Caenorhabditis elegans: one gene and its partners. The protein of the gene in region 2 purifies or fractionates together with the protein of the main gene of each other region. This does not show direct contact. Each region holds a gene or a part of one and is shown on either strand. Other genes may lie near its edges. The genes, in order: sld-5, psf-1, psf-3 and psf-2.

Region 1 (6,158 bases), on a different chromosome or scaffold from region 2:
CTCGGATTTTTTTTTTTGGAAATTTTTTGTGAAAAATCGCTGAATTTTTCTGATTTTTTTGCGAATTTTTTGGTATATTTTGGACATTTTTCAGATTTTTTTTCTCAAAATTTTTAGAAAATTCGCTGATTTTTTCCCAAAATTTATCCGAATTTTCTAAAATTTTCTGGATTTTTTCAAAAATTCCCTATTTTTTCAGATTTTTTGCGAATTTTTGAGCATTTTTTGGAAATTTTGTCCTCAAAATTTTCCATTTTTTCTCGAATTTTTTTTACAAAATTTTTCACTGAATTTTCCCAATTTTAATCCTATTTCCTCCGATCGCATTTTTTAAAATGTTTTACCACCCCCTTATATACATATTTACCCCCATTCTGTTTCCCCCGTAAAAAAACCACCAAAATGATCTTTTTTTCTCTCTCTGAAATATATATATATGTAACACCCCTCCGAACTCCACGCTGCTGGTATCTCCTTTTTTTCATGGTTTTTTTTAACGATTTTAATTTTAATTTATTCGTATCTTGTGCTATTTAACACCCCACCAACACATATTACTCTCTCTCTTTCTTTTTTTCTATTTATATGATGAAAACGCACACTTTTTCGACGAATTTTTGCATTTTTTTTTGTTGAAATTTTGCGGTTTTTTCCAATGATTTTTATATATTTTTTTTAAATCGGGATTTGAGGATTTTCAGATTTTTTTTTTGCTGTAAAAAACTAAAAGAAATTATATTTTTGGATATAAAATTTTAAAATTTGAAATTTAAAAGTGAAAAAAAAATTTCAAAAAAGTTTATTTTTGGTCCGAAAAAAATATATAAAAATATGAATTTTCCAGCAAAAATTATTTTTTCGAAATTTATTCAATTTTGATAGAAAAACTGAGAAAAAATTCCAAAAAATTGATTTTTCTGAAAATTTGGAAAAAATCGTTTTTTTTTTTTGCAAAAAAAAATGGAAAAATCAAATTTTTCGAATAAGTTTGAAATTTCCACTAAAAATATTTTTTTTACGAAAAAAAAACTTATTTGGTTCATAAAAACTTGAAATATATATATATATATAAATGTGAATTTTCCTGAAAAAAATTAATTTTCCACCTAAAAATTATATATTTTTTCAAATATAAAACTAAAAAACTCTATTTTCCAATTAAATTCAATTTTAATCGAAAAACTGGAAAAAAATTTCAAAAAATTGGTTTTTTTCTTTAGAAAAATCAATATTTATCTGAAAAATTGGAAAAAATCATTTTTTGCAAAAAAAAAATCAAATTTTTTGAATAAATATAAAATTTCCACTAAAAAATATTTTTTCCATAAAATACAAAAATTTAAAAAAATTTAATTTTCCAAATTTAAAACTCCGAAAAAATTTCCTTTTTTACAGGAAAAAACCCCGATTTTTATGATAAAACGTTTTTCACCCAAAAATCAATATTAGTCTGAAAAATTGAAAAAAAAAATTCAATTTTTACTGAAAAAAATTAACATTTCTCACTTTCCTTTAAAAATAATTAATTTTCCACAAAAAAAACCAAATTTTTTCAATTTTAGCACTAAAAATATTATTTTTCCAAAAAAAATTTAAAGTTCAAAAAATATATTTCCAGAGTTTCCATTTCCCAAAAAATACTAAATTTTGATAGAAAAACTGAGAAAAAAATTCCAAAAAAATTTGAAAAAATATTTTTTTTTGCCAAAAAACAAGGAGAAATCAAATTTTTCGAATAAATTAAAAATTTCCATTAAAAAACTATTTTTCCCATAAAAACTAAATAAAAATATATATAAATGTGAATTTTCCTGAAAAAAATCAAAATTTTTCAATTTTAGCACAAAAAAAAATTATTTTTCCAAAAAAATAATAAAAAAATTTTTTCAAAAATTAATTTTCACCTAAAAATGATGAATTTCTTCAAAAAAAAACATTTTTCCCAAAAAAATTTTTTTTTTCAATTTTGGCACTAAAAATATTATTTTTCCCAAAAAAAATTTTTTCAACTAAAAAAAAATTTAAATTAAAAAAATATATTTCCCCAGAATTTCCAAAAAAAAAAATGGCCGTCACCGACTCTGCAACAACCTTTTTGGATTTTGACGACGACGAATACGATGAGATGACTACACCGGAAGAAGTGCTCCGAAAAATGACAGCCACGTGGCAAAATGAGCTGTGTGCTCCGTGCCTTCTCCCAACTCAAATGGAACTTGTCGAAATCCTACTTGATCAGATTCAGGGAATGGAGGAAAATATTGGAAAACAAACGGATAAAATGCAGCTGAGAATCTCAGTTCATCGAGTCGAGCTTCAACGCATTGGGTTTATTACGTCGGATTATGTTAGGTGTGCGGCGGGAAAATGAGCCCCGAAAATGGAGAAAAGTAGCGAAAAACCACGAAAAATACGAAATTTCACGAAAAATAGTGAAAAAACGGAGAAAAATGGGAATTTTCGCTGAAAATTAGTTTAAAAACCGTCCAAAATGGAGAAAATCATGAAATACTGGAAATTTTCACTGAAAATTAATTAAAAAACGGAGAAAAATGGGAATTTTCACGGAAAATTAGTTAAAAAAACGGAGAAAAACGCGAATTCTCACGGAAAAATGGTCGAAAACCACGAAAAATGCAAAAATTCACTGAAAATTGATTAAAAATCGGCGAAAAATGCGATTTTTTGCAGAAAATTGATAAAAAATCACGAAAAATGCATTTTTTCGCTGAAAATTGATTAAAAATCGTCTAAATGGAGAAAATCATGAAATATTGCAAATTTTCACTGAAAATTAGTTAAAAATCGAGAAAACTTCACATTTAGAGTGACAATTAGCCGAAAATTCACGAAAAATGCGAATTTTCACGAAAAAATAGTGAAAAATCGGCGAAAAATGCGAATTTTAACTGAAAATTAATCAAAAATCGGCGAAAAATGCGAAATTTTGCTGAGAAAGTATCAAAAAATCGGAAAAACTTGGAAATTCAGCCGAAAATTAATCAAAAATCGAAAAAAAGCTATATTCTGCAGAAAAATTTGCAAAAATTGTCTAAAAATTTGTACAAAAATCGATTTTTTATGGAAAAAAAAATTGAAAAGCAGCGCAAATTTCGACGTTTTGGCGCTTTTTTGCCGAAAAAAAGGGCGAAAAATGAAAAAAATGGACCAAAAATTCATTAGCAGCGCCCAAAACTTGTAGTTTGTAGTGCCTGAAATTCAAAAACACGCTAAAATCCTCAATTTTCATCGAATTTTGCCCATTTTTTCACGAAAATTTCCAAAAAATTCCCAAATTTTCGTAGATTCTCACTAATTTTCTCGAACAATTTTCTGCAGATGCCGCCTCCAAAAAATCGAATCAAATCCACACGACGCAATCGATCAACACAAAAAACGAAAAGAAGAGGGAAAAAGTGATCTACTATCGGAATCTGAGATGAAATTCGCCGAAGAATATGCTCTAGCGGAGTCGAACCTTTTTCAGAAAACTGTCCTGGGTACGGCGGATGGATTTTTGGTTGAAAATTGCGATTTTTTATTGAAAAAATCGTAAAAATTGGCCAATTTTTCACTAGAAGCCTAATTTTTTTCTAATTTGAAAATTTTTTTGAAAATTCATGTATTTTTTTGTTACAATTTTGAAAAAAAAAATGTCAAAAAATTTTTTTTTTGATTTTTTGAATTTTGAAAGTTTTCCTTTCGAAACTTCAAATTTTTCTCTCAAAATTTGAATTTTTTTTGAATTTTTATTTATTTTGACCTAAAAAAAATTTTTTTTTTTGAATTTTCAAAAAAAAACAATTTTTTTGGTAAAATTGACCATAAAAATTCACAAATTTTAAGAAATTTTCAAATTTTAAAATTAATTTCAAAAAAATCGATTTTTTTTGGAATTTTCAAAAAAAAAATTTCCTTGGAAAAATTAAAATTTTGCAATTTGTTTTTTTTGTGGAAAATCAATAAAAATCTTATTTTTTGCATTTCAAAAGTTTCATTTTTAAGTTAAAAAAAAATTAAATTTAAAATTTTCGCTAAAATTTTAGAAAATTACCTCAAAAATTCAGAAAAATTTGCGTAAAAGCTCAGAAAATCTGGAAAATTTCGATTTTTTTTGCAGTTTTTTTTTCTCTCAAAAACTGCAAAATTTCGCTTAATGCCACGTGGCAATTTTTACAATTTTTTTTTCAAAATTTCAAAAAAAAAAAATTTCAAAATTCCCAAAAAAAAACTTTTTTTTTCAAAATTTCAAAAAAAAAAAAATTTCCCAAAAACTCTCAATTTTCTTCAGAATTCATGCCAGCAGCGCTTAAAAAGATGCCAGTTCCACGTGGCGATCATGATGACGTCATGGTTTACGCAAAAGTGACGTCAGATGACGTGGGCAACGTTGCGATTCCGGATTGGCAGGATTTGAATGGAGAAGTGATTTTGGAAATGGAACCGGAATCGTGTCATTTGATTCCGTTCGAATCGGTACATCAATTGGTTGAAGATGGAAATATTCAACTGATGTGAAGAAGAATTTTTTGATAATTTTTTCGGATTTTTTTGGAATTTTCATCATTTTTACCCCTAAAATCGTAAATTTAATCCATTTTTTTGTAATTTTCCCGAATTTTTCATCATTTTTTACCCCTGAAACCCCCTTTTTTTTTTTTTACATATGTCTACTTTAATTTGTCACTTTTTGCCAATTTTCTGTCAAAAAATGAGCATTTTCACTGAAATTTTGCGGTGATTTTTCGCCTGTTTTCTCCTCTTTGAATCTCAATTTTTCACTTTAAAATTATCAAATTTTGCTCAAAAACCTCATTATTCCATTTTTATGTTCCCCCAAAAAACTGGATTTTCACTTCAAAAATCGGGTTTTTTTCTCTTAAATTTTCATTTATTTTAGCTTTTTTAAACATAAAAACGAAGCTTACTCCATGTTTTTTCCTGAAAATAGACAAAAAAATTTGGTTTGATATAAATTTTCGATTTTTGAGCCAAAAAGTGAATAATTTAAAGTTTTTCTGCTCATAACATTGTTCAGCATGACCATAGCGCAAAACTGGTGAAATTTTTGGAACTTTCGTAAAATTTCAGGCTTAAAACACCTAAATTACGCGAATTTTGGAGCAGTTTGAAAACTTGGTCAAGTGGCTCAGGCGGGAAGAGAGAAGGCTATGGTTCGGAGGGTAACAGGTTCGAACCCCCGCTAGGGTCAATATTTTTTATATGTTTGAATTAGTATAGCCTAGTTGGTTTTGAGCAATTGCGAAGGGGAGGAAGGGTTTAAGGGAATTTTTTGAAAAAAATCGATAAAATGTGTTTTCTTTTGGTTTTTTGCCAATTTCTTGAAGTTTTCAGCGATTTTAGCATAAATTTCCAAATTCTGCAGAAAATTTAGACATTTTTTGACACCCATATTAACTTTTCAACTTTTTTTTTCGAATTTTGAGCCAAGAAATTGATCGATTTAAAGTTTTTTACTCATAACTCTGTTCAACATGAACGTAGATCAAAACTAGTTAAATTTCTGGAATTATCGTGAAATTCTGAGCCTAAAACAACTAAATTACGCGAATTTTGGAGCAGTTTGAAAACTGGGTCAAAGTGGCTCAGGCGGGAAGAGGTATGGTTATGTGCGGAGGGTCATAGGTTCGAACCCCCGCTAGGGTCAATATTTTTTTAATGTTTGAATTAGTATAGCTAAGTTGGTTTAGAACAATTGCGAAGGGTTTTGAGGGAATTAAAAAAAAAAAAAAACATTTTTTTTTAAATTTTTAGATTAAAAATTTTTTTTTTTTTGGAGAACTAAACTTTCAGGGCTCAGAGTAACACTGAAACAAGAACAATTTTTTTTCATATTTTATCATTTTATGTTACCTGTTACCTTGAACATGTTGATCGGCGTGATTCCACCTATAAAAACCAGCGAAAACCCCGTAAAAACCTGAAAAATGTTACTTTTCATAATTTCCCCCTTATTCCTACTCTCTCTATGCCAACCTACAGTAACCCAACACTCTCAGGAGGTACTGTCACATTTTAACAATTTCACGATGCACCATAAGAAACACTACCGTACCCCGGCGGAGAAAGACCGCCGGTTGGCTCATTTCGCGAAAAATCATCAGAAAATCCAGGAACTTAATGCGAAAGCAAGGAGA
Region 2 (4,158 bases):
CTTTAAAATTAAGCTAAATCAAATACCTTCGAATACAATCAGGAGCCCTCGTTTCTGATCAGTAGCCATAGGTGAAGAGATGAGGCTCTGGAAATAAGACAGCATGGAGAAATATAAAATAAAATAGAAACATGAAGACGCGCTTCTATAGAATCGGAACTTTAGATCTACAGATTCAAATCTAAAGATAAAGCCGACAGCGAAAAAATCCAGAAAATCGCATCGGCTATCTAACCTTCTTCTTAATATTTCTATTCAACCGATCCATACACTATTTATTCTCTCATAGAAAAAAGACACAAACGGACAAAATCGATAGGGGACTAAATTAACAGAAGACGTCTCGAGAATGAGATGAATTGGGGGAAAAAAGAATACGAAAAAATCGGATGGCTGTTTCGTCCTCCCCCAGCGACAGAGTTTGTATGTGGAGCTTTGAAGAGTAGACGAAATCGGATGGTGTCTACCAATGGTACATCGTCTTCTGGAAATCGACGTAACGGTGAGACTTGACGAGCCAATTGAGGAACGAGTAGGCGAAGATGAAGCGGAAGATTACCTTGACCTAAAAATAAAAAAAATTAGTATTTTTTTTTTAAATTTAAACGAACAGTGTTATTGTAGACTGGTCCTGAGTAATAGAGGTTGTGGACTCTCCAGATATTGCGCATGAACTCGTTGTAGAAGGCAGATGGGGTCTTCTCACGACGAGCCATCCAGGCTGGAAGATCTCCTAGCTTCACATCCATGAACTTGGTATCAAGCTTTCCGTAGTATCTCCAGTGGCAGTATGGTCCGTGAACGTTCTTGTTCCATCTCTTGTCGAACAATCCAACCTCGGTCTTGTTCAACACGCTAAAAATTATATCGGTTATTTTTGGAAAAGAATTTTATTCGTCGTTTTCAGACAATGACAAACCGGTTGTAGAAGAACACTCCGACACGCTCAACGGCGCGAGAGATCGGGATAAAGATCGCGTCCGGAACCCATGGTCTGAGTTGAGTGTGTGGTGGTGGAGGACGGAACCAGGCCATAACTGAAAATTCGAAGAATTAAAAAAATAAAAATAAACCAGATATTTAATTAAATAGTGAGAATCGAGTAACGATTAAGCCAAATAATCAATAAACAAGAAATTAATTAGAAAAACAACCAAAACAGGCATTTTGTTCAATTTAGCAAATATACACATGAATATCAGGAAGAATATACATTTAAAAAAGAACGTTCCAGCTCCAATAATCCTTAACTATGTGCTAAATATTGTTTTAAATATAAACATGTATTTTTGTAAACATTGATCATTATCGACCATGGGATTACGTTTCAGTAACGCCTAAAACGAATTTAACTCAGAATTTAGTGATATATTTGATTTTAGAAGAAATTAATTGAGTAAATAATGAAAAATCGTCAATATTCCACTTTTAAAAAATGCTTAAGAAAAATGTGTGCAGTTTTCAACGGGCGGCGATACATTTCGGCTAATCGCTGCGAGACCCATGGCCGTGGCCGAGTCTACAACTAGTTCACAAGAGCCGAAATGGTGGGAAAGTCGAGGACTTTAAATTTAATGTTTTTTATTTTCGAATTTAATATTTAAAATCAAGTATTTCCCTTTAAAATTTTATTTTTCAAATCAACTTTTAATTTTTGCAGTTCAAAAAATGAGTTCCGGCGATCAGAATCGAGGAGGCGTCGCCGACAAAGCACTACAACTTGTTTTAGAGATGAAAAGAAATCCAGATGTATTACCGCCTTATAACGTAAAATTATATCCTATTTTCTGCTTTAAATTTGAGTTCTTTTCAGACAGAACTTGTACGCCAATGTTATCAGAAAATCGATGAGTTGTTTCAAAAGAATGCTGCCGTCGTGTAAGTGATACATTTCGGAAGCGTACCGATTCGTTCGTGACTTCTTGATTTAAAATCATATTTTTCAGTGAAAAAATCCGTGCAGGACTCCCTCATGATTCTACGCTTCTTCAACCTCGTTTAGCTGCAATGTGCCATATTCGAGTAAGTCGAGAAGGTCGATTTTTGAAATATTGTAGTGGTTCAATTTTCCAGCGTTGCATGATGGCCTATGTGAACGAGAGGAAAAACAGGATTCGATCATTCAGATGGAAGTATGGAGGTGCTCTTCCCGCGTCTGTTAGGGTAATCGGTGCACATGATTAAAATTTGTCAACCATTATTTTTCAGAACGCCCTCTGCGATGCGGAAATTCAGTTTTTCAATGAGTATTCGAGCACATTGGCAAGATTCCAAAGCAATCTTGGAGAAGGTGGTGTTAATCTGCTGCTTCATTCTGCACCACCGAAGTCACTTTTTGTACAAGTTAGAGCTCTCGAGGATTATGGAGAATTTGAAACGTCAGATGGAACTCAAGTTCAGCTGTCCAAGGATAGTTTGGTAAGTCTTCGAATTTTTCTTTATTTGAAAAAAGAGAAATCCCGTTTTTAATTTTTTAAATAATGTATAACATTTTTCAGCACTCCCTTCCACGCCAAGACTGCGAAATGCTGATACGTCAGGGTGTTCTCGAGCTTGTTCATTGACTTGTTGTCGGTATTTTGTTTTCAACCTGTGATCTGTATAAATAGCTTCTTGTCAGTTTATTTTACAAAAAAAGTAGCCTCGTTTAATTAATTAAGAAAACACATAAGTTAAAAAATTATTTCGACTTCTCCGAGAATTTCTCGACGGCAGCACGAACTTCCTTGATATCGGCAGCATCTCCCCACTCCTTCTCCAAATGAGTGAACACGATGTCGTTGTTAGCAATCAAATAAACACCTGAACAATTATTATGAAAAAATAATTTTAATAATTTTTCGTACCTCCCAAAAGTCTTCCCTCTCCTTCCATGTTTCCCTCGACCTTGGCTTTCTTTGCTTTGTAAACATTCGAGTAAGTTCCGAAACGAAGAAATCCCATCCAAACTGGCAGCCAGCGTTCGTTTGGACCGTAGAAAGTGCGATCAGTGTCCAAATAGACATCACCGCCGGAGAACCAAGACTTGAACTCATTTGCTCCACGAGTCTCGTGCACAACGGCGGCCTGAAAGCAAAGTTTTAATTTTTCTATTTTGAAGGAGCGCTTACCAGTTCGATTCCTTTTTCCTTGAGCAACGGGAGCAGTGTGTGCAATTCAGCAGCTTCACGACGGCACAGCATACATCCCGGACGACGTACAGCCATCACCATGATCGGACCTTTCTTGAACAACGAGTCGGCCTGAAACTTCTCAAATAATTTTAATTTTAGAGTGAAAATGTTTACCGTAAACTGCTCATTTCTCTCCACAACTTCTTTTTCCTTCGGTCCACCACGAATTGGGACAAGTTTTGCGGCCGCCAAATGAGCAAAGGTTGGAGCAACAGCTCCGATTGTCAAATAAGTGGGAAGATTCGCGTAAACGAGAGCTCCGCCGAGAGCAGCGGCAGCTCCATAACCGAGAAATGCCATTTTCTGAAAGAAGAAGCTTTGGAAACTTGGAGTTATTCGAAAAAATGGTGACCACTTTGAAAATGCACATTAGAGACATTATTTTTGAATCGTCACAGCAAAATGAAATGCTCAGAAACTCGTAATTTAGTGAAATTCGCTATTACGGCCTTTTTTCAGTGTTTAGTTTTTTCTCAAATGAAAAGAAATTGAACTTAACATTTGGCTGACTAGTGAGTTCGTCGCGAGACCTATTCAGAATACTGTATGCGTCTTTAAAGTGAAGTGTTAAGTTTTGAAGTAATTATGATACAACTTTTTTTTCGTGGAAACTCAGTAAAAAATCGTCTAAAAATAAAAGAATAAAAAGAATTTCTGTTGGGAAAAGTTGTGTATGTGAAAAATGGTAAACAAGTTAGAGTGTAGTGTCTTATGGAAATAGTATGCAATTCTGAGAGAACGCATAGAAAAACGCTGATAAACACTTTTTGGTCGATGAGCTCTAGGCGTTCGAGTTTTTTTTTCTTCAAAAAACACCAGAAATCTCAATTAATCTGAATTAATCTGAAATATAAAATTTCTATGAACTTCAGATATCATTTTGTTCTGAAAATAATCACTCTACAACACATTGTTTTAAATACTCATTTGAAGAAGGAACAACTTCAGAATTCAAGAACAGTTGAAAATCGGGGGAAACATCAAT
Region 3 (4,426 bases), on a different chromosome or scaffold from region 2:
CCGCGTGATGAAGAGTACTTTTATCCGAATTAAATCATAGGCAACGAAAACAAGAATCAGGTTCTTGTGCTTTGCACACCATGTCGGAATATCCGTCTCAATCAAAACGAAAAAAGCCTAAGCTGGACCAAGTGTTAAATGCTTAAATGCCAAAAATGAACAATCTTTCAAATCACTTTCATCTTCCTGTAAATCAGAGAATCCTGAAGCGCTGGCGCGCACACTTACGAAAAGTGAAAGCCGATATATCAAGTTTATCACCTAGCGGGACTTCCATTGTCTCATTGTCTCTTGGCTATCCGCCCCACTTTCCCCCCGGATCATCCGCCCCCTTTAATCCAAGACTCTCGAACAGTTTCGCTTCATTCCAGGACCGATTCGCATTCGGCAACAACAGCTCGTCGTCCTCATCAGCAGGCTGCTTTTCATCGAACAATTCGTCAGGCGGACTTTTTTCCAGTAAATAAGTTAATATGTGAGTTTTTTTTGTGTACATTTTCTTCTTTTCAAGATCCATTAACATTTCAGAATGCGATCGGCAGCCGGTATTCTTATTCTAATCTCAATAATTATTCCCAGTGTATATAGTGAACCGAAGTTGCCCGATTGCGAGCAAATACCAAAAGTCTTGTGCTGTACCCAACGTGTCTTAGATAAATGTATGTCTGGTTGTATCGATTATGTCACTGAGAAATGCCCCCACAAATTGGAAAAATACGAGACGATCGATGAAGAGCCATCGACGAGAGCTCCAAAGAAGCAGGTGAAGCCAGCTAAGGCAACTAGCAACAGAGTTGTCGGAGCAGTTGAAGTAGACCATGAAGCCAAGGAGCAGTTCATCGACTCCAAGGATATCAGAAGAGCACCACGAGTCGGTGATGCCAAGCTTCTCAGCCAGGAGTACCCGATCACCGAGGTCACCGACGCCGATCTCTCCTCCGAGTGCGGAACCGAGAAGTCTCAGCCACCATTCTCACCATGCTTGTCCCGCAAGTCGGCCGACGACGTCTTCCTCTCCTGCTGTCGCCAACAGGTTCCATCCAACTGTCACAGCCTCTGCACCTACGAGCATCGTGAGCATGTCGCCGCTGAAACTCTGATCCAGGCGATCCAGCAAGAGCACTGCGATATGAAGGTAAGAATAGTTCAATCTTCCTATTGAGTTTTTTTTTTGAGTTTTTCCAAAATTCATTCTTTCAGTACTTCTCCAAACTGCTCTACTGTGCCAACCAAAACCGCGACAACCGCGCGTGCTGCTCCAACCTCGGCATGTCAAACGCGGAACTCGGCGTCGGCGATCGTTGCCTACGTATGTGCAACATCTCCCCGTCGGGAGACCGTGTAAGCTCTATGGAGAAGGAGGATCTCGTCTGCCTGTCCAACTGGAACGTCATCATGTACTGTGCCAGAGGTGGTCTTCGTACCATCAACTAGACCATCATCCCCGTTCTCTTCTCCCGTAATAAGCTGGCTCAGGTTGTTAATAATAATTCGCCGCTCGTCTTAATAATTTTCCATTTTCCAATCTCGTCCCCCCTTTTCAACACTACCACATTTCTCAGTGATATTCATCTGAACCGCCCGACATACATCAGTTCCTCATAGTACCTAACAGGGTTCAACAAACCCATCCACACACCGTCCCCCCACGTAACACCCCCCCCCCCCCCACTTAAGGACCAAGTCCTAGTTACTGAATGTGCAACATTATGGCCAGAATGCAATACTTGTCCCATCTGAATCCATGTTATTTGATAATCTATGACAGTATTATACAACCCTTTTTTTTCAAAACACAAGCCCCCTTGAAAACGAACTCATTGTATGTCAAACGGTATCCCTTATTACACGATTAATTGTGGAGTTTGAAGCGAATAAATCAATCAATTTCTCGTTGGGTCCCACAGCGAAATGACTATTACCGGTACAGAGAGTGTGGATAGTTAGAGAGTGACAGACATCCGGGACCCAATGGGGCGGGGCGCGCGGAAGAGACGATTTGTGTCGATTTACGAAATGATGACAACGAGGAAAATTTCGTAAATCGACACAAATCGTCTCTTCCGCGCGCCCCGCCCCATCGGGTCCCGGATGTCTGTCGCTCTCTAACTATCTACACTCTCTGTACCGGTAATACTATTGCAGTAATCGCAGGTTATTTCATAGCGATTTTTCATAGCTTCACGGATTTCTGGATTCCCTCATAAATTGAAATGGAAGAGTTTTTGCTGAACTAGGCCATTTTGGCTCTGTCATATCTGGGGTAGATTTACGGCGCGTTGCGGTTCGATTTTAGTTGTAAAACTAAATGTATTTGTCCGTGTGGAGTACACGACTTTCTCACGCGTGGTCCGGCAGGCGATTATCAATAGAGCGCGAAAAATTCAATGAGGAAGGCCAGAACTCCGTGCAGCTTTACTCGCGAATTCAGGTGTGTGTTTTAATTGTCTTTATTCAGTTTTCTGATAATGAATATACTTTTTTACAGAAAAACTGGAAAACTGATAAAAAAGTCCCCAGAAACTAGATATTGAAATTACAGTACACTTTAAAGGCGCACACATTTTCACAGTAAACAAAAAATTTGTCGTGCCGAGATATTTCATCCAGATTATCAGTTGTTAAAATTTGACAACACTCATTTTGAATATTTAATGAATTCGAATGGAAAATAGAAGAAAGCTGCCAAAAAGTGAAATTAAATTCTCAAAAACTTGATTTCCAGACTTTTTTGGCGATTTTCGACCAATTTCAGCAGAATTTTTAGCAGAATTTTACAAATTTTTTTATTTTAAAGCTTATTTTAATAATTTTTCTCTGAAATATATGAATATCTTTGCTTTCGATGGATCTTCCTCAAAAGTAGACACACATTTTTATTTTTCTACAAAACTGTGCAAAGTTACGTCGTGGTGTTTGCGTACCTCGGCGGGAATTTAAAGAGAAATGGCATTTTTCACTTTTCTCGCAGTTTTTCTGATTTTTTTTTCGTTTTTTCGTAGTTTCCTAATAAAAAATCGTTCCAATTGTTTCCAGGTAATGGCTGGATTTGAAATTCAAAGAGTCGAGTCCAAATTCTTCGACTTGGACGACATAATCGCCAAGTCAGACTCCACGTCTTGCACATTTGAGATTGGAGATTTGAATCCAGGTCTGAAATCGCATCGAAAACCTAAAAATTCTAGTGATTTTTGTTCAGATTTCTTCCAGGAAATGCTGGGAGTTTCGAAGCCAACTCAAAATGCAGACGGATACGGCGTTGATGCTCCATACTGGCTGCTGGAATCCGTTAGAAGTTCATTTTCCGTGAGAATTTAGTTAGATTTGCCCCGAATTTTAATTGAGAATTCCAGATTCAACTGCCAAAAGCTTATAGTGTGAACATGCAAAATGTGCTGAACGCTGACAGCAAGAAATTGAATCTCTCCGGCTTGCAGCAACACTTTTACGGCAACGGGATGCAGTTATGCCGTCTGATGAAGGGCGAAAATCCGGACGGCGCGCTGAGCCTCGCACGATGCCTTGTCTCCACACTTACACAGCGATTAGGAGGTATTAATTAATATAATAAAGCACTTATAAAATACAATTTCTGGTTTTTTTTTGTTGCAGAAATTGTGTCAACTGCAACCCATCTGCAAAGCAAAGGCGAGAAATTTGACAGCCTCGAGACAAAAGTGTTCCTGGAGGGTAAACGGTGCAAAGAAGACATTGATACTTGGCTGAGACAAGACAATAAGTGCTCGAGCAAGAAGCGTAAGAGACTTTCGTTATAAACTTCAAATTTCTTATGCTTGAATCTAATTTTATTTTTTTTAATTCGTCTGTAAATATAATTCAAACCCACCATTCTGTAATAATATTTTATTTTCTATTTTTTCACACTCATTTTTGTGTTTTATTGGTGTAATAAACCTGGTTTCATGACTTTTTTGCAAGGAATTTTGTTGAAAAGGCTGCTGCAAAAACTTTGCCAGCAAAAAATTTTGTGCAAGCACGCTCCATCGCACAGTTTGAACGTCGCGGGTCGAAGTTAGATGTGCAGGTCATATAGCAAAAAGAGAAACACCCCTTTTTTTCTCGAGAAGTTTCACCAATTTTGCGCGATTTTTCAACTATTTTTTTGCTTTTTTGGCTTAATTTTGGCTCAGATTTTCCTCAAAAACATGAAAATCCAATCTAGAATAAGTAGTAATGGGTATATTCTAAGATTGTGCAAAAGTTAGCTTGAATTTCCTCGATTAAAGCTTTCCTACCAAGAAAAATGTGTGGATATTTTGAATTTACAAGTTTTTCATCTTTTTTTTGTAATATTCTCTTTGAAACTCCTGTTTCTCTCAAATTTGTAAACTTTCATAAACGTTTTTTTCAGGGTTACCACATTAAACAATGACCGGAAGCACCGAAACTCGCCAGAAGGAAGTCA
Region 4 (4,196 bases), on a different chromosome or scaffold from region 2:
TTTTACTTTTCAAGAGAAATGAACTTTTTTTCATAGTTTTCTTTTGAAAACACAAAAAAAAAATCTGAAATGTACGTTTTTTTTAAAGTTCAAAACCCAAAAACTTGTAGCCTAGAAATTTACCTCAGAAAAATGAGAAAAACTGTCAGAAGGGAGAGAAGGACTATCATAGTGCGTCCGGCTGCATCTGTCTGAAATATCAGTTACTTTGAGAAAATTTTAAAAGAAAAAGGCATCACAACAACGAGAGCGTCTAGTGCTTAAAATAAAATTTGGAAAAAACGGCTAAAAGTTAAAGATAATAGTTATTCAATTTTTGAAATTAGAAAAACATGAGCTCTGTGAGTCTTAGGATTGTGGGTTTGGTACAACAAATGGGAGCTTTAAAGCCGTCGGGAATGTCAAATATTAAGTAATGGAATTGGGAAAATGAATGAAATACACAGGTCTATGGCGAGCTGGAACCCGGGATGAGAAAGTACAAGAAAATGTGTGATAGCGAAAAGATGGGACACAGAATGTACACAAAAATCGAGTAAAATTGCACAGAATTAGGAAAAAAAAACTAAAGCAGAGAAAATGCTACAAAATGTCAAAAATTAATCGAATTCCTGGAGAAAAAGAAATACAAATGTCCTAAGAAGCTTCGGGGAAAATCAAGATAAAAGCGACAACGATTGCAAATCCCATATAAATGAAGAACATCTTGAGAATTCGATATTTTCCATTATGCAATTCATGTGGAATCACTTCAAAAGTAGTAATATACAAGAATGTTCCACAGGCAATTGCTTGTAGAATTGATGAGACAATTGCAGCAAATGATTGTTCTCCTCCACTGATAAATTTCATGATTCCAATTCCAGCTAGACCACCAATCAATACTTGAACACTAAAAAGGAATTGTGCAAGTGCAATCCATGGAGTTGTTAGATTTGCTTGAACTAGACGAACTCCAAGGCAGAAGCCCATTATGCATTTGTGAAGTATTAGCGCTCCGAAGATCTGCAAAATAAATTAAAAAAAAAAAACATTTTTTGTTTTAAATTCTAATTTTAATTTTAAAAATGAAGAAAATAGTAGTTTTAAGGTAGCCGGCAGAACCTGAAGCAACTGAGAAGCATCTGACGTGACAGCTAACGAGAGTCCCTCGAACAGAGCATGAACAGAGAGTGCCAATACTAGCATGGCAACTCCAATACTCGATTGGGCGGCAGCTTCGTCTCCTTCTTCTTGTGATTCACCATCTTCAGATCTTTGATGCTCATGATTATGACTATGAATATGGTATCCAACATGTCCGAATACATTTCGGTCTTTCGCCGCTTTGACAACCTGATCAATTGTGAGAACCAATAGAAATCCGACTGCTACAAATGCCAACGGAACTGGGAACTCCGTTGCAATCTTGGTCTTCTCGAAGGATTCTATTGAGTCTGCAAAATGTTTCAGGTTTTCTACTACATTTTAGCGAGTGTATTGCCAAAATGGGATTTTTGGCGAATATTCTTCAAAATTTGGACTAAAATAGCATTTCTCTGATGTTTTTTTTTTTTTGCAAAATTTTCCACTTCTCACCTGGAAGCAAATCAAGAAGGCAGGCGCCTAGAAAAACTCCACCACCGATGCACGAGATGAACGAGAGAATATGGCTCCGCGCCCATTCTCCTTTTAGAAACGTGGCTATCTGAAAGTTGACGAAATTTTCAAAATGAAATGTGATCACATCACATGCGAACATGACAAAAAAAAGTTTTGGCTCACCATTCCGGCTGCAAACGTGAGCGCGAACAGAACGATGAGCAATACGGCGCGGAGTGCATCCTTCGGTTCTGCCCGTTCTCCATGCTCTTCCCATACGTTTTTTAGAAATAACCGTGCAGTTAAACGAGAAACAATTCGTCCGAACATCTTAAATTTTGGAGTACTCAGCAATTTTCGTAGAAGGTAGCGAGAAAAAGAGAAAAATGGATGGAAAGTTAGAATTTTTGTGTGGTAATATTTTTGAAATATTTGTAAGAAGAATATTTAAATGTTTTTTGAAAAAAATAAATCAGTTTGCCGAGAGAAAATCAATAAATCGCGAGCCTTTTCGAGACATGAACGCTCGATTTGCTCAAACACTTCTCTGGCGCTCTCCACTCTCTCGCACGTGCAATTGTAGCGCGTTTGCTGATAGTTTTGTGAACTAAGAACGCGAGAATATCGGGCGTGGTCTTACTAATATTTTATAGAATGTTTGATTTTATCTGCCGAAATTTGTAACTATTAACGTTTTCTAATTGAAAAAATTCAAAATTTTTCAAGTATCCATTTTTATAGCGTTTTTTTTTGTGTATTTTTAAGATTTTATTTCACAAATCTGAGTTCTATGGAATACTTTCCCATCAGAAGTGTAAGGCCTCAATATCGGAGGGGTTTTAGAAATTTTTAAAATAAGTTATTCTTCTCAATTTATATTTTCTTTTCTTAATTTATATTTTCAATTGAAAAACTATTATTTTCAGATCAAAAAATGAATGCAGAACGTTGCGAGTTCATCGCCGGAAACTCGCTTATTGAAGTGATCCCCTCAATTTCCGATGACCGGCCGATTCACCTGATTTCCGGCGATATTGGTCCATTTGAGGCAGGCGTACCCTGTCGGATTCCAGTTTGGACAGCGATTTTGATGAAACGAAAACACAATTGCAAGGTGGTGGCTCCTCAATGGATGGATGTAGATGAGCTGAAGAAGATATTGACGTCAGAGACTGAAAGCCAAGGATTGGCGAAATTACCGGATCATTTCTTTGAAATCTCGCATATGCTTGTTCGAGATGCCCGTGAGGATATATTCGAAGTTGAAGCTGTCAAATCATTGGTTCAGGACATTTATGATCGGAGGGACGCAAAACTTCGAAGCTCAGCGATCGAATTCTTGAGACAGGTTGGCAAAAATTATTGAAAATATTTCTAATCCAATTCTTAACAATTCCAGAACCAAACCTGCCACGCTCAATTGGACAACGTTCAGCTGATTGAAGCATCGTCCGCTCGTGCCACTTTGGAGGCCTGTCGTCAGATGGGAGCTGTCGTCCGTAATAAACACGAATCAACACCTTTATAGTGTTTTATTCCTATATATACACTTATTTTTCACAATTAAAACAATTACAATTTCATTGCTGTCTCAAACAGAAAAAAAGTACCCGAATTTAAGACAAATCCTGACAAATTCTCGAAATGAATAACACAGAAAATTTGGAGATCTCAAGGGAAATGGTGTTGATAGATTATTTCTACTAGTTTGTCAGTGGTGCATGCGGTTGGCGTTTTCCTCGACGTGGCAATGACTTGTTGAACGTTCCATCAGATGGAAAAACTGCATATCCTTTTCGCTCACGAGGACTGAAGAAACTTGGAATTAAATTTTGAAAAGCGATGGCGTGGCGAACCTTTTTTTATCGGTGAACGCAGTTGGCGCCTTAATTCGACTTCTAAACGCTTGAGCTACTTCCTCTGGAGAATCCACGTGGGTTGTTGAAGCAACCTTCAGCGGTTTTTTCTTCCGCATCGAGGAGTTCAGCATAATCGGGACATATGAAGGCCGGGGAGCAGATTTTTCAAAAGCTGGAATAAAATTAAATTGTTTAGAAAAAAAAACACTTTGAATAAGCATTGATCTTGGATGTTGTCTTTTATAAAACGTGTGTACAGTGCATTTTTTGGTACTTATGAGTTTCGTTCCCCCCAAAATGATTTCCATATTTTCTAATTGAGACGTGAACTTTTTTTCATTCTCAGGCTTAGGGAAATGATTTTCTAAGCCAAAAAATGAAAACAGTATTAAAATAAACATTCACGTGTGGATTAAAATTAAAAAGGTAGTGTTAAATAATTTAAAATCATTTTGGGGGAACGAAACCCATAAGCACCCTTTTTTTTTCCACTTCTGCGACTCTAAAGGAGGGCGCATTTATTCGAAATGGTCCCGCCACGCGCTTCAAAAATCAAAGAATGATGCGTGCCGAGACCAATTCGGATAAACTCACCCTCCTTTAAAGTCGTGGAAGTGAAGAAACAATATACTGTAATGTTGATGCGACCTAGTGATGGCCTCTCGGCAGCAATCAACGAACATACATTTCACAATATCTGACACTTTACTTTGTGTCATTGTAGAAATCTCCTTTTGCCCCTCTGTCCCAGGAGCA

Evidence for each region.
Region 1: the proteins of psf-1 (region 2) and sld-5 purify together in Caenorhabditis elegans (affinity purification with mass spectrometry; 2 studies listed by BioGRID, with this or other methods). This does not show direct contact.
Region 3: the proteins of psf-1 (region 2) and psf-3 purify together in Caenorhabditis elegans (affinity purification with western blotting; 2 studies listed by BioGRID, with this or other methods). This does not show direct contact.
Region 4: the proteins of psf-1 (region 2) and psf-2 purify together in Caenorhabditis elegans (affinity purification with mass spectrometry; 2 studies listed by BioGRID, with this or other methods). This does not show direct contact.

The regions. Positions count from the first base shown.
Region 1 is NC_003283.11:20,233,634-20,239,791, reverse strand, and holds sld-5 (DNA replication complex GINS protein SLD5), read left to right. Parts: upstream 1-2,046; 5' UTR 2,047-2,065; coding exon 2,066-2,352; intron 2,353-3,339; coding exon 3,340-3,500; intron 3,501-4,291; coding exon 4,292-4,518; 3' UTR 4,519-4,987; downstream 4,988-6,158. Other genes in the region: Y113G7B.15 (Pept_C1 domain-containing protein), read left to right, coding at 5,949-6,158.
Region 2 is NC_003280.10:9,967,013-9,971,170, forward strand, and holds psf-1 (putative DNA replication complex GINS protein PSF1), read left to right. Parts: upstream 1-1,660; 5' UTR 1,661-1,668; coding exon 1,669-1,767; intron 1,768-1,813; coding exon 1,814-1,878; intron 1,879-1,946; coding exon 1,947-2,022; intron 2,023-2,073; coding exon 2,074-2,163; intron 2,164-2,208; coding exon 2,209-2,418; intron 2,419-2,498; coding exon 2,499-2,564; 3' UTR 2,565-2,618; downstream 2,619-4,158. Other genes in the region: dtmk-1 (Thymidylate kinase), read right to left, coding at 27-69; R53.4 (Putative ATP synthase subunit f, mitochondrial), read right to left, coding at 464-565, 612-855, 920-1,035; R53.5 (Peroxiredoxin-like 2A), read right to left, coding at 2,681-2,802, 2,847-3,066, 3,111-3,242, 3,288-3,473.
Region 3 is NC_003279.8:531,419-535,844, forward strand, and holds psf-3 (DNA replication complex GINS protein PSF3), read left to right. Parts: upstream 1-3,036; 5' UTR 3,037-3,039; coding exon 3,040-3,151; intron 3,152-3,199; coding exon 3,200-3,306; intron 3,307-3,353; coding exon 3,354-3,552; intron 3,553-3,612; coding exon 3,613-3,776; 3' UTR 3,777-3,926; downstream 3,927-4,426. Other genes in the region: Y65B4BL.1 (uncharacterized protein), read left to right, coding at 372-467; dbd-1 (DB domain-containing protein), read left to right, coding at 530-1,135, 1,201-1,434; icd-2 (Nascent polypeptide-associated complex subunit alpha), read left to right, coding at 4,390-4,426.
Region 4 is NC_003279.8:15,050,510-15,054,705, forward strand, and holds psf-2 (putative DNA replication complex GINS protein PSF2), read left to right. Parts: upstream 1-2,500; 5' UTR 2,501-2,515; coding exon 2,516-2,929; intron 2,930-2,980; coding exon 2,981-3,109; 3' UTR 3,110-3,163; downstream 3,164-4,196. Other genes in the region: bltp-2 (FMP27/BLTP2/Hobbit GFWDK motif-containing RBG unit domain-containing protein), read right to left, coding at 124-170; zipt-1 (Zrt (ZRT), Irt- (IRT-) like Protein Transporter), read right to left, coding at 637-1,005, 1,105-1,436, 1,579-1,687, 1,765-1,911. UniProt on the Caenorhabditis elegans protein: Required for correct functioning of the GINS complex, a complex that plays an essential role in the initiation of DNA replication, and progression of DNA replication forks.